Linked DNA regions of Canis lupus familiaris. The protein of the gene in region 2 purifies or fractionates together with the protein of the main gene of each other region. This does not show direct contact. Links are inferred from orthologs where the notes say so. Each region holds a gene or a part of one and is shown on either strand. Other genes may lie near its edges.

Region 1 (4,377 bases), about 160 kb from region 2:
TGGGTGGCTCAGTCGGTTGGGCATCTGCCTTTGGCTCAGGTCATGATCTCTAGTCCTGGGATCAAGCCCCGGATCCAGGCTTACTGCTCAGCGGGGAGTCTACTTCTCTCTCTCTCTCTCCCTCTCTCTCTGCCCCTCCTCGCTGTTCGTTCTCTCTCAAATAAATTAATAAAATCTTAAAAAAAGAAAAAAAGAGGGATCCCTGGGTGGCGCAGCGGTTTGGCGCCTGCCTTTGGCCCGGGGCGCGATCCTGGAGACCCTGGATCGAATCCCACATCGGGCTCCCAGTGCATGGAGCCTGCTTCTCCCTCTGCCTGTGTCTCTGCCTCTCTCTCTCTCTCTCATGAATAAATAAATAAAATCTTTATTAAAAAAAAAAAAAAAAAAAAAAAAAAAAAAGAAAAAAAGAGCAAGCGTTGGAAATGCAGCGCCAGCTACATTAAAGCCAACACCAAAGTTTGTTATTGGAGGCCACCTCTCTGGATGGTATGTTGGTCCTCCCGGCCCCCATCCCACCCCCACCCCCAGCTCCCCTCAGCATTGCTTTCACTGAACTGAGCTTGGCCTTGAAGTCACCGACCTGTGGGGGTGTGTATAGATTTGTTAAGATCCAGTGTATGTTGTGTGTATAGAACCTGCTTCTGCCTCTGCCCATTCGTGCACACATATATTTTCTGGTGATATGTCTCGTGTTTGGGATAGGGTGAGTGTGAAGTTGTGTGTGGGGAACTCTCATCTAACGCTGAGCAGACTCTGTGGCTCAGCTTAGAGTTCTCACTCCTACTAAACACAGGAAACAAGCTTATTTGCAAAGCCACACCACAAGTGTGAGGGAATGGTGGTGCACTGGCCAGCCAAGGTGCTGAATAGGTGTAATTCTGGGTGTGAACAGTCTTCCCTTTGGTGCACTATTTACAGGGGAGGGACTACCTAACCTCTGTTAAGTACCTACAATGTGTCAGGTACAACCCAGGGCATGTCACAGGTCCCCACAAGCATTCTGTAAGGGAGAGATTTATTATTGCCTCTTCACAGATTAGTGATCTGGAGTTGGGAGTCTGGAGGATGAAGTCAATATTGTTCAGGGAAATGCCAGGACCAAAACTGTATCTGGGTTGGCCTAACCCTGAAACCCATGTTCTTTGCACTATACCATGTCCATTAACTGTCTGGTGTTTGGTCTTGCTCTATTCTCTTGCTTCTCAAGAAACAGAAACCAAGGACAGTGCCCTTGGCTATGTCATAACCTCTTTCCAAAATGGGCCTTTGTCCTTCTCAGAACTGTGTTGACTTCCAGGGAGCCTTCCAGATCACCTGAGGGAAGGCTGTTCTCTGAGAACCTCACCTTTTTCTCTTGCCCATCACTTGGTCCTTAACCCTTTGAGGAGAACCTCTGTCCCTGAGCCATGAAGGCAAGGGACCCTGAGTAATCTATCAGCACATGCTGGATGAGAGAGGTGCAAGTCCAGGGTGTAGATGAGCCCCTCTGAAGCACAGGGAGGGTTCCCACAAAAGGCTACCAGCCTTGGACTTGGGGACAAGAGAAAGGCTGGGATACGCTGCTGACTAGGTGGAAACTATGTGTCAAAAAAATTCCAATGGTGGAGGGTAGGGTGAGGGAAACCTGGAAAGTCTGGCTCACATGGGGATGCCCCCCATAAACTGAAGGTTCAGAAGAAAGTGAGGGGGTGGGCAGGTAGCTGACTATGCCTTCCTGGGCCTCCACTTCCCAGGGGTTTGAAGCAGCAATCAGTAGGACCAACTGGTCCTACACATGCAGTGGGGGGTAGGGGTGAAACCAGAGGAAGGGGGTGGGCATCCCATGACACTCAGCAGGGGCAGGAATGGCAACTTTCCAGATGGAAATGCAGACGTTCTCTGCCCAGGGCCAACTGCACCCCAGTCTCGGATAAAAATAGCCCTTCCTCTGCTCTTCCCTTCCCATTCTCTGTCCTTCGACTCCCTGACCTCCAGTCAGACACTTCCGCCCTGGAGGCCCATCCCAGATGATAAACATACCCTCACGTATCCAGCAGCTTCCGAAGAAGACACCTCTGCCTCTCCAGCGCTGCTGGTCACTGAGGCTAAAATCACTTCTCACGTGTCCATCCGGATGTTCCGAGGGATTCCTCTCTCTCTCTCTCTCAATCTCACTCTGTCTCTCTCAGACGATTCCTGTCCCTGGGGTCTGCCCCAGCAATCAACAGGATTCCTGGGTCCCCTGACTCAAGCCTATCACCCTGCCCCATGGGTGGGGGGTAGTACTAGCCTAGGCCACCACCCTCTCCCAGAGACTGACCCTGCCACTGCCTTGCTGAGTACTGTGGGGAGGGAGGTCTTGCCTTCTCTGGGCCTCAAGATGTTCACCCATCATCGGATCAGGGGCTGAACTTAGGGATCTTTCTTTCTTTCTTTCTTTCTTTCTTTCTTTCTTTCTTTCTTTCTTTCTTTCTTTCTTTCTTCTTTCTTTCTTTCTTTCTTCTTCAATATTTTATTTATTTATTTATTTATTTATTTATTTATTTATTTGAGAGCGAGAGTGAGTGAGCATGAGTGGGGTTAGGGGCAGAGGGAGAGGGGGAAGCAGACTCCTTGCTGACAGAGGAGCCCAATGTGGGGTTCGATCCCAGGACCCTGAGATGATGACCTGAGCTGAAGGCAGACACTTAACCAACTGAGCCACCCAGGTGCCCTTGAACTCAGGGATTTCTGAGGCCTTTTTAAAATACCTGACAGTCCATGTGCCAGATCTCTAAGAAAATGCTCCCAGTGAGGTAGGGACCAGTGACTGACGGTGTGGCAGGGGCAAGAGGTGATCCAGCTGAACTGTATGAGGCCCACCTGACCTCTAGCAAGATTTTTCTATTCCCCAGCCTGTAGGGCTGCTGGATGCCCAGGGAGCCCAGCCCCATGCCCATGCCCAGGTGTAGCCCCCACTGTCAGGCTCCCAGCACAGCCCTGAGACCCCTGTTCCCAGTGTTCCTTACCTGCCCGGCCCGGGAGCCCTCTGGTCCCATTCACATGGTCCTCCTGGCTTGGCCTGGCTGCTTACACACGGTTTTGGCTCCCCTTGCTAAGGTGGCCACCGTCTGTCTTAGCGCGCCCACGTCCCACCCTGACTTCCTGCCTCCTTCTGAGGGCTCCGCAGCCAACCGGGCCCCAGCAGCCCAACCACAAGCCTCCGGCACCCCAAGCTTCCTGCTGTTAGAGCCCCCCACTCCTCAGCCCCTGGGGGTCCTAACCATCTCCAGGCCCTCCTGAGGGTGGCACTTGGAGCTGAAGAGAGGACACTTGATGGAACCTCCCTCCTGCCCCCCAGGGAGCACCTGGACAAGAGAGTCAAGGGCAGCCTTTATACCCCAGTGAGCAAAGGGTGAGCAGACACACACTTAGCTTTCAGTGAAAGGCGAGTGGCACAGCTGTCACAGTCTGAGAGCTGAGTGAACGTTTCATTGCAGTCTAGAGATGGCAAAGGTGACCCCATTTCCAAGTCAGAGGAGAGAACACTAGCCCTGTTAAATAGTTGGGGAGCCAAACATCCTATGCTACAGTCAGATGTCAGGCTAGTACGGCTGCCTAGCAACTGTCATGCCATCTCAGGGCAAGGGACAACAACTTTACTAGAGTCAGAGGGTAAGCTTCTTACAGACAGAAGGCTGGACAGCAAGCTGTTTAAGCAAGCAGGCTAGACCACCTTGTGTCTTTAGAATGACAGATTAACAGCTCCTGCTGGGGGCAGAGGACAGGCTAACACCCACTCATCAGGGCGACACTTCTAATTCAGGAAGAGGCAAGGTCACAGCCCCTGTTAGACATGTAGGGCCTGCCACCATCTCCTGCAACAGGTGGAAGGCAGACAAACACTCCTGCCCAGGCACCCAGGTGCCAGCCGCTGACTGGCAGGTCTTTTCTGTTAGAGGCAGGACAGAGAAGCCTTGTCAGGAGCAGCAAGCAGGCTGAGAATCTCCCTTCCCCCTGGGCCAAGCTGAGGGTGGCACCCATCATAGGTTAAGTGCCAGGTTATCAGTGTTATGAGGAACTCTGGACGGTCTCTATGAGGCACAAGAGCTGGGCCTTGGCCCCACCCATAGGAAAGTATAAATGTGTCACAGTCACCACTGCTGGAGCCCACACTTAGCGAGCAGTTTGGGGGAGGGGAGCCCACAGAGCATTGTTGGGGTTTGTGAGGTGGAAGCTGATGCTGTGTGCACCTCAGCTGCAGAGGGAAGGGGGAGACAGGAAATGGGTGGGGGGAAGAGGAAGCCTGAGCTGGAAAGTCAGACAAAGAGGGTAACACAGAAACAAAGGCTGAGGAGATATGTTGTAAAAAAAACCTATGGTGACCCAGAGCCCTGCACAGGCCCCTCTGGCCTTCAG
Region 2 (3,901 bases):
CCCCAGTGAGAGGAGCCATCACTAGAGGTGCCACCGTGACTCGAGGAGTGCCACCCCCACCTACGGTGAGGGGTGCTCCAGCACCAAGAGCACGGACAGCAGGCATCCAGAGAATACCTTTGCCTCCACCCCCTGCGCCGGAAACATATGAAGAATATGTAAGGAGTTGGAACAGTGTGCTGTTTCCCAATACCTAGAAGGTTGCCAAAGTTGAATGATAGGGCGTTGGCCTTTGACATAGGTGGCAGGGACAACCTATAAGAGATCTGGAGTCAGTCTCTTCTCTTGCAGTGAGCATTAAAATATGAGAAGATTTTTTCCATTTTAAGCAGTTTACTATGTGTGAATAGATTAAACAGGAAATAGGCTGTACCTTGATATGTATAGTCTTTTAGTAAGGGGTCTTTTTGCTAGTACTACTGATAATTCTCAACTTCAACTGTTTACCTTGTTTCCTGCCCACAATTTGAAAGATGATTTGGTTTGGTTGGTAGTTCAGTTTTGTTTCGTTTTTTAAAAAAATAACCCTTTCTCTCTCAACAATTCCCCAGTGAGTGTAAATTTTGGAGGGAAGTTTTGCATTGTTAATCTGGGAGTCTGCCATCCTCCTATGAGTTGTAATTACCTTCCCTACTCTGTGTGATTCTGACTATTTCATTTTATTTGTTCCAGGGATATGATGATACTTACGCAGAACAGAGTTATGAAGGCTACGAAGGCTATTACAGCCAGAGCCAAGGGTAAGTCAGGCAATAGAAGTGCTGTTTCGTGTCCTAGGGATGGATGGGAGGGAGTTTGAGCAACTGAGAGATTTAGGTAGGACACATCTAAGGAGCAGCGTGGCTCCCTTTTGGAAAGTATCGCCTTTACTTTCCATATCTGTAGGGCACACAGATCTATAAGCTTAGATAGCTGTGAATCTTAATTTACAGTGTAGAATTTGGGAATAGCAGATGGAAAATTACTGAGCTGTGACCGCATGGAAATGAAGGGAAAATGCCATTAAATTGTTTTGATGTATTCTTGTCACATTAAAAGTGCATTAAAGTTTAAAAGGAAGCCTAGAATCTTACTACCATAACTTGGGTTGTTTTGTGCACTCGTCTTAAATAATAATGTTTTTGTGTATACATATTTTGTCTGTGATTGATTGAAAAGTGTCTCATAATTATACAGTGGGGACAGGAACAGCATGTTTGTTTATTCTCTTCCAATGAGCCCTATAAATGTGTGTGTGTACACTATAATTAAGATGGTCAGTTTTGGATTATGCTCTCTCACTTTAAATTATGTGGCATCCATCTTTGCTATGGTTATCAATTTTTTTTTAATAATTACTAGCTCCTTAAAAAAAATAATTACTAGCTCCTATATGTTTTGAAATGTTTTCTGGTTTGGAGATGGGGCAGAACGAGCATTTTCCTGTCTTCCACACCTATTAAAATGACTGAAATGTGAGAGGAATGAGAAATGGAAACAAGAGTTACTCTAGCTCTCTAACGCTCTGTCTTTGGCTTTCAGGGACTCAGAATATTATGACTATGGACATGGGGAGGTTCAAGATTCTTACGAAGCTTATGGTATGTCTTTATTTCCATGGTGGGCAAAGTGTGCAAGTAAGTGCCTGCAGGAATGCTGGTGACTCAATTATTGGGGGCCACCAGTCACATACTGAAAGAGGAGCTTTTAGAAAGCTGAGATGTTGGTAGATGTGACAGTAGCTGTCCTTCTCTTATTGAAATTGTGTGATGTGGCATAGAAAGAGGAGCTCTTAAGGTGAAATGGGGTACTGTTACTCTTGGAAGGCTAAGTAGGTATCTTAAACTAGGGCTCAGGTCCAGCTTGGTCTGGTTGGAGCAGCAGACTTTTAAGTTGATGATGATCTTTTTCTACGTTAGACCAGGAGAGATGGCCAGGCCTAGGTCATGTTGCAGGGCCTTTGCTGCTGGTGCCTAGGCCACATTAGTAGATAATAAGAACTTAATCATATCTAACTTTATTCTCCAGCCCCACTTCATTTTTAGCAACGATTTTGGATCTCATTGAAAAGAATCTCAATGTAGAGGAAATGTTAGCTGAAAGAGAACGAGACGGCAAGTAGCTAGCCAAAAGCAGGTTGGGTGCAAGAAGAGTGCCTATCAGCCTCAGATCTGAGGCTATAAGAGCTAGAGCCAATTCAGCTCCTTACTTGCTTGGAGACCTCTCAACTCAGTCCCTGATCCCAAAGGACCTATAGAGGCTGGAATGGCAGTAGGACCAAGCTGTCTTCCCTGAGGTTTAGTTGAAAACACATTGCTCAAGAGTGTCCTCAAGAGCCAATTATGGCCCTGTGTTAATGGGCCCCAGAGGGAGTGCCATGTGGCAATGGGTGCAGAGAGAGCAGCCTTTTGAATGCAAGGATTTTCAACATACTTGAGGGAGTTCCAGAGTGCTTGGTGAGGGGCTCAGTAATTGACAGTTCATCTTAAGACGCTAGTAAACAGTCTCTCCTTACCCCTAGCTGAAAAGGAGGAGGTGGGGAGCCTCTTAGAGCTCCCACTGACAGACAAGCTGAGCTTTACTCCTCAGCACAGTTATGTAGTAGCCAGTCAGCTGCTTGCCTAGAGAAATGGTTTTTACCAATTCTAGCTAAATGGTACTGGACAGTTGCCATCAGTAATGCTGCACTGCTCTGAGGCCACCGTTTAAAAGGGCAGTGGGATTGCCCTAGGGCATTCCATCCATTGGTGAGGCGGCACAACGGGGCCTCTGTATGTGTTTGACTAAATTACATTTCTGTTTTGCCAGAAAAGAGACTGGACTGAAAGAGTCAGACTGCTTCTTTTGCTCCTGGTGTGATGTTGCTGCAGTTAATCTGTTATGATTTCTACCTTTTATAAACAGAATTAGAAAAATAAACTGTCTTGTTAGTACTAGAAGCCACTTGGAAAGTAATGGATGTACCTATCATACTAAGGGTATAAATAGGCTTGCATAGGGTTCTGTGGGACTGCGGGTCCATATAGAGGTTTTAGACCTGTAGAGATGGAGGCTCATATTTGTGAATGCAGGCAGCTGGAGAAATACATTGGGGATGAACTGGCATAGGTAAAGTATGGGGGCGAGTGGGAAGAATAAGCTCATAATCCCAACTCCTGTTCATAAGAGGTCAGCTGTAGAAGTAAGGGATCATGTCCCTCAGGCTTTTCCCTGTATCAAAGGAAAACCATTTGAGGATGTCAACCACGTTATCTGGCTTCTCTGGACTACTGCATGAGAAAGGAAATCATGAATTCTCCATCATATCAGTGTTATGAATACATTCAATTGTACTTCCCTCCGCCAGAGCAGTGGACCAGCTCTGCTGGTGGGGAGGCCTCATGAAATGTGGCCCTTGCTTGTTCCTCCCAGAGAGCCAGAGGACACTTCTTAACAGGGAAACCTGACTTACTGGTGGAAAGGGAGGCCACCTGATTTCCAGTCTGAAAGACCTCGCAAAGTTGCCACATTACCCAAGACTTTCTGCCAGATGCTTTTGGGAACGGGAAGAAGGACATTGTGGACCCACTGAGATTCATCTCCTTACTGTCTCAAGCAAGGTGTTGGTTTATCCAGGTTTGGGGGTTGGAGTAGATCATGTTGCCAGTGGAGAACCTCTTTGCTGAAGATGATTCCAGGCCTTTTCTGAGCTGTTTCCTTCTGTCCACTCAAAATTGCCCCGTTCCAGAAGGCCAAACAGAGCGAAAAGTGAGGACCACTGGGATGTGGCAAGACACGGGAGGGAAGCAAAGCAGTGTTTTTGGTGATCTTTACCATATGACCTACTCCTGCTCATCCCAGCATGCCAATGGCACATGGTTTATAAATTGTTCTTGCTTTCCCCACAGGCCAAGACGACTGGAATGGAACCAGGCCGTCGCTG
Region 3 (4,546 bases), on a different chromosome or scaffold from region 2:
AGAGTCTGGACGAGAGAAGATGCAAGTCAGGCGTGGTGGGTGGGGTGGCGAGGGCCAACGGTGGCGCGGCCAGGCCGGCCCGCGAGGTGGCTGGGAGCCGAGGCGGCGGCGGCGTCGAGGACACCTCCGAGGGGCTTGGCCCAAGCACGTTAGCAGACCGAGCGCCAGGCTCGGGGGGGGGGGGCGGGGCAGTGCAGGGAGCGGGGCGCGCAGTCGGAGGGGGAGGGCGGAGGGCGGAGGGGAGTGGCGCCGCGGGGCAGCCCGGGGTGCCTGGTCTGGGAGTGAAGCCCTGGGGAGGTGGCGTCGCCTGAGCGCCCGGCTCCGGACCAGGCCAGCCGGAGAGAGGCTTCCGGGCCCGCGGGCAGCGGCCTGGGGGGAGGCGGGAGGAAAACACGCGGAGTGAGGCCGCGGAAACCCCTGCCAGAGGGGCGCGAGGAGGCGGGGCGTGAGGTGGCGCGGGCGGCGGGCGGCGGGCGGCGGGCGAGGAGCCGCGCAGGCGGAGGCCGCCGGGGGCCGCAGGTCTGAAGGCCCGACAGGCCGCGCTCAGGCCCGGGGGCCGCTCCGGAGGACGGGGCCGTCGAGCGCCCGCCACGCTCGCCGCAGGGGCGGGACGGACGAGGGTCCGGCGGTCGCAGGAGCGGCCTGCGGGGCAGCCCCGAGCGGCCCAAGGGGCGGGGCGGGGCAGGCCTGCTGTCCGTCAAAGCCCGCCAGCCAATCCGCAGGCTGCCCCGCCCCCGCCCCGCCCCGGAGAGGGTGCGCGGAGGGCCCGCCTCCGCCGCCGCCGCCGCTGCCCCGCCGCCGCCGCCGCCGCCGCCGCCGCGGGTGTGAGGCGGCCCGGCCTGGCCTGGCTGGCTCCCTCCGCCGGGCAGCCGCCCAGGTAACCGGGCTCGGCCGGCGGGCCGGGGCGCTCTGCACCCTCACCTTTCCTCCCGGCCGCCGCGCGGGCAGCGGGCTGAGGGAGCGGCTGCGGCCGGGCCTGTGCGGGACAGCGGGCCTGGGCGACCGCCCGTGCGTGTGCGACTGACTGACGGGCCGGCGCGGGGCTGCCGCCGCGTGACGGGGCCGGCCGGGGCGGCGTGAGGAGGGCGGCGGACGGAGCGGCGGGCCGCGGGAGCGCGAGCGGCGGGCGCGCCCCCGCCGCCATTGCGCCCCGCGTCCCTGCCTGGGCCTGTCCGGGGGTCGCGGGGCGCAGGCGCGGCGGGAGGCGGGCGGGGGTCCTCTCCACGGGCGCGCGGGCGCCTTTGTTCCCGGCGCGCGGGCCGGGGCGGGGCCTGAGGAGCCGCCCCGCCCCCCGCCTCAGGCCCCGCCCCGTCTCCGCCCGCAGGAGCCGCCGCCGGGCCCGCTCGCGGGCCGCCTCAGCCGCCTCAGCCGCCGCCGCCGCCGCCGCCGCCGCCGCCTGCTCCCGCCGGCCGGGCCTCCGCCCCCAGCGCCGGAGCCATGGCGGGCGCCGCTTCCCCCTGCGCCAACGGCTGCGGGCCCGGCGCGCCCTCGGACGCCGAGGTGCTGCACCTCTGCCGCAGCCTCGAGGTGGGCACCGTCATGACTTTGTTCTACTCCAAGAAGTCGCAGCGGCCGGAGCGGAAGACCTTCCAGGTCAAGCTGGAGACGCGGCAGATCACGTGGAGCCGTGGCGCCGACAAGATCGAGGGGGCCAGTAAGTGCGCCCGCTCCCTGGGGCCCGCGCGAGTCCGCTCCCGCTCCCGCTCCCGCGCCCCGCCGCCTCTGGAGTGACTTGGGTGAACTTTGGGGCCCTCCCCCGCAGCCTCCGGGCCCCGCCCCCGCCCCCGCCCCGGTGGTCCCCGCGGGCGGGGGGCATCCGGGTCCTCCGTCACCTGACAGGACACCCCCTCCCCCAGCCCGGGGGGTGCTCCAGGCGCTGCGCCCGGAGGCCTAAGAATCCCAGCGGGTTGGGGCCGGCGGGGCAGGCGTCGGGGGTGCCCCCCCCCCCCCCCGGCAGTGCTGGTGACTGGGGCGAGGGAAGCCCAGGCGGCGGCAGCCCACCCGGCCCCAGAATCGGGGGCCAGGCCGGACGGTCATCGCCCACCACCTTTTTTCCCCAGAAGAGTAGTCGTGGTGAAACTTTCTGGGCCCCCCGGGCTGGGCTCCATTTGCAAAGGAACCTTTGGGTTCCCTGAGTAGAATTTAGGCAGATGTTGGGGTAGGGCTGGCTTTGGGTCAGAGCCGGGCCTGCCCCCCCCCCCCCCTCCTCTCTCTCTCCCTCTCGGAGAGGGTGCAAGGTGGTCTTGTTTGGTTTGGAAAAGCCTGAGGGAAGGCAGCGGCTGCTTTTTCCCGCTGCTGCTTTTGTCTCGAAGCTGAATTTTAGAGGTCTGCGTGGGTGGGCCGACACTCAAAGCCAGGACCCGGACTCTTGGTAAAGAGGCCAGGCTTCTCTTACCCTTGGAAGCACATCCTCAAGAGCGTGGCCCAGAAAGGCCACCCTCCGTGCCTTAGAGTCAGGTACTTTCGAGAGTGTGCAGCCAATTTTGGGTCTAGCCCTTTGTGTCCTGCGTCCTGTGCTGCGTGGCCACGGGGAGCTGGGAGCGGCTACCTTTGGTTTCCTGCTGCTTGGCCTTCTCAGGCCTGAACTTGGCTGCTTTGGGACAGATCTCAGGAGGAGGGAATTGGGGATTTTGAAAAAGCCCAGATCCTTTCAGTGTTACTACACTTAATGCATCCCTGTGCTGTGGCCGGGTGGGCACCCAGCTCTGCCCTCCATTCCCCCACCTTCAAGTGTGAGAGGTAGTGTGTCTGCAACCCTAGGTTGTGGGTTGCTTCCTGCAAGGACTCCCCCCAGAGACTCAGAACTAGGTCCATGTGGAGGAGGGGCGTCAGGAAGTGACACCCCCATGGGAAGGCCCTACAGACCTTGGGTATCGTGTACATGTGTGTAGATGGGTGAGGAGATTGGGAGGAAGGAAAGTCTTGTGGTGAAGCAGCCACCCTCAACTACAAACTCCAGATCTGATACAGCTGCTGAACTCAGAAATGGCAACTGCCTTCCGCTGTGCCTCCATCAGCCCTGCCAGCTATGGAGAGAAGATTTTAGTGATTCGAGAGACTGGATTCCAAAATTGTGGAATGATAGACACTGCAGAGAGCCAGATAGATAGTCCTGGGGACTTCACCCAGGCATCAAGACTTCCAGGCACAGCCTCTTCCTTGCTTTTATAGTGCTCCCTATGCTCTGCTCAGTTGGTGGCACTGACCAGAGGTTCCCCAGTAGAGATTTCCTGGGTAACAGACTGCACTTCAAACCATGCATGTGATCAGCAGGCAGTACGTGCAGCTCTGTGGTTGAAGACAAGGCTGGATTTGAAGCCCATTGATTAGTTGTGGGCCACTTGCTTATCTAGCTAGTTACTTATTTTCTCTGAGCTTAGTTTCCTTATCTATAGAGTAGGAATGGTAAAATATATGCTATATATGGTTGCTCTGGAGATTAAATGAGAATTGGTGTAAAACATGTAGCACAGTGCTTGATACATTGTAAATGTTTAATAAGTGTGAGCTGTTTTTAATAATAACAATAGAAGTAAAAGAGTGTGACTGCCCTCCTCCATCCTGGACTATGAATGTTGAGGGAGGTGGACTATGGCTGTAGGAGAGCATGAGGGTATAGGGAGGGAGGAGGATGGGAACCAAGTTCACATTTCACTTAAAGGGAGGAAATGGTTTTGTTTTGCTTTAACTCCTCTCCTCACCCACCCACCTATCATACGTAGAATAGTACATGACAGTAAAATCATGGAGTAAATCTAGAGAGATTTGCACATCTGACTCTCGGGTGTGACTTGACTTATTTGTAAGTTGGGGCCTGAACAGAGGGATGTGGGGAAGAGTGAGTCTAGTCCGTGGTGTCTCAGGTCTTTGGGGGTTGGTGACAGGAATGCAGGGGATCCTATGGCCCCCAGCTCCCAGGGTAGGTCAGCTAGAGAAATACAGATTCAGTGATCTCATCAGCTGCAAGTGTAGGCAAAGAATATAGGAGCCTTGGCCCTTTGATTTTGGAGGCCCAGGTTGAAGGAGTCTGAGTAAAAATGCTAGTAGATGCTTGTGTAGGGTTCACACATTGTAAATGGAGCTTCTCACTGAAGCTCGCCCACTTCTGCCCATTCGTGGTATACTTTGTTGGTGACTTCTGATCCTTGCAGCCCCCCTACCCTACCCCCCCCCACAGGCTCTGAGGAAGGTTGGGCTGCCAGCTGTGTCCCCTACCATCTGGCCTTTTCCTGCTGACTCTGCCAGGGTTCCATGTAGTGCTTGTAGTCTGGCCAAGGAGAGAGAGGCACTGTGGACCTGCAGGAGGGATGCTGTGGTTCAAGGAAATGCGCAGCACTCAACGTGTCAGACCTCATTCTGACCTAACCCCATCCCTTCTCACTTTATCGCTTGTGAAGTGGGGCTGGCACTTGCTGATTTCTAGGATGGTAGTTTGGCTTAAAAGAGGGGTGGGGAAGTGCTTTGGTACTAGTTGTCCTGGTGATGTGACAGGAACCAGGTTGATGTTTGGCTTTTTATGTTGCAGATACTGACTTAAGTGAATACA

What was found.
Region 1: the proteins of KHDRBS1 (region 2) and LCK purify together in Homo sapiens (affinity purification with western blotting; 5 studies listed by BioGRID and IntAct, with this or other methods). This does not show direct contact. The link is inferred for Canis lupus familiaris from reciprocal best matches to the Homo sapiens genes KHDRBS1 and LCK.
Region 3: the proteins of KHDRBS1 (region 2) and PLCG1 purify together in Homo sapiens (affinity purification with western blotting; 7 studies listed by BioGRID and IntAct, with this or other methods). This does not show direct contact. The link is inferred for Canis lupus familiaris from reciprocal best matches to the Homo sapiens genes KHDRBS1 and PLCG1.

Annotation. Positions count from the first base shown.
Region 1 is NC_049223.1:68,359,855-68,364,231, forward strand, and holds the start of LCK (tyrosine-protein kinase Lck), read right to left. Parts: upstream 3,146-4,377; 5' UTR 2,988-3,145; intron 1-2,987. UniProt on the Homo sapiens protein: Non-receptor tyrosine-protein kinase that plays an essential role in the selection and maturation of developing T-cells in the thymus and in the function of mature T-cells. Plays a key role in T-cell antigen receptor (TCR)-linked signal transduction pathways.
Region 2 is NC_049223.1:68,522,176-68,526,076, reverse strand, and holds part of KHDRBS1 (KH domain-containing, RNA-binding, signal transduction-associated protein 1), read left to right. Parts: coding exon 1-158; intron 159-672; coding exon 673-740; intron 741-1,521; coding exon 1,522-1,580; intron 1,581-3,866; coding exon 3,867-3,901. UniProt on the Homo sapiens protein: Recruited and tyrosine phosphorylated by several receptor systems, for example the T-cell, leptin and insulin receptors. Once phosphorylated, functions as an adapter protein in signal transduction cascades by binding to SH2 and SH3 domain-containing proteins.
Region 3 is NC_049245.1:29,750,756-29,755,301, forward strand, and holds the start of PLCG1 (1-phosphatidylinositol 4,5-bisphosphate phosphodiesterase gamma-1), read left to right. Parts: upstream 1-1,401; 5' UTR 1,402-1,437; coding exon 1,438-1,654; intron 1,655-4,546. UniProt on the Homo sapiens protein: Mediates the production of the second messenger molecules diacylglycerol (DAG) and inositol 1,4,5-trisphosphate (IP3). Plays an important role in the regulation of intracellular signaling cascades.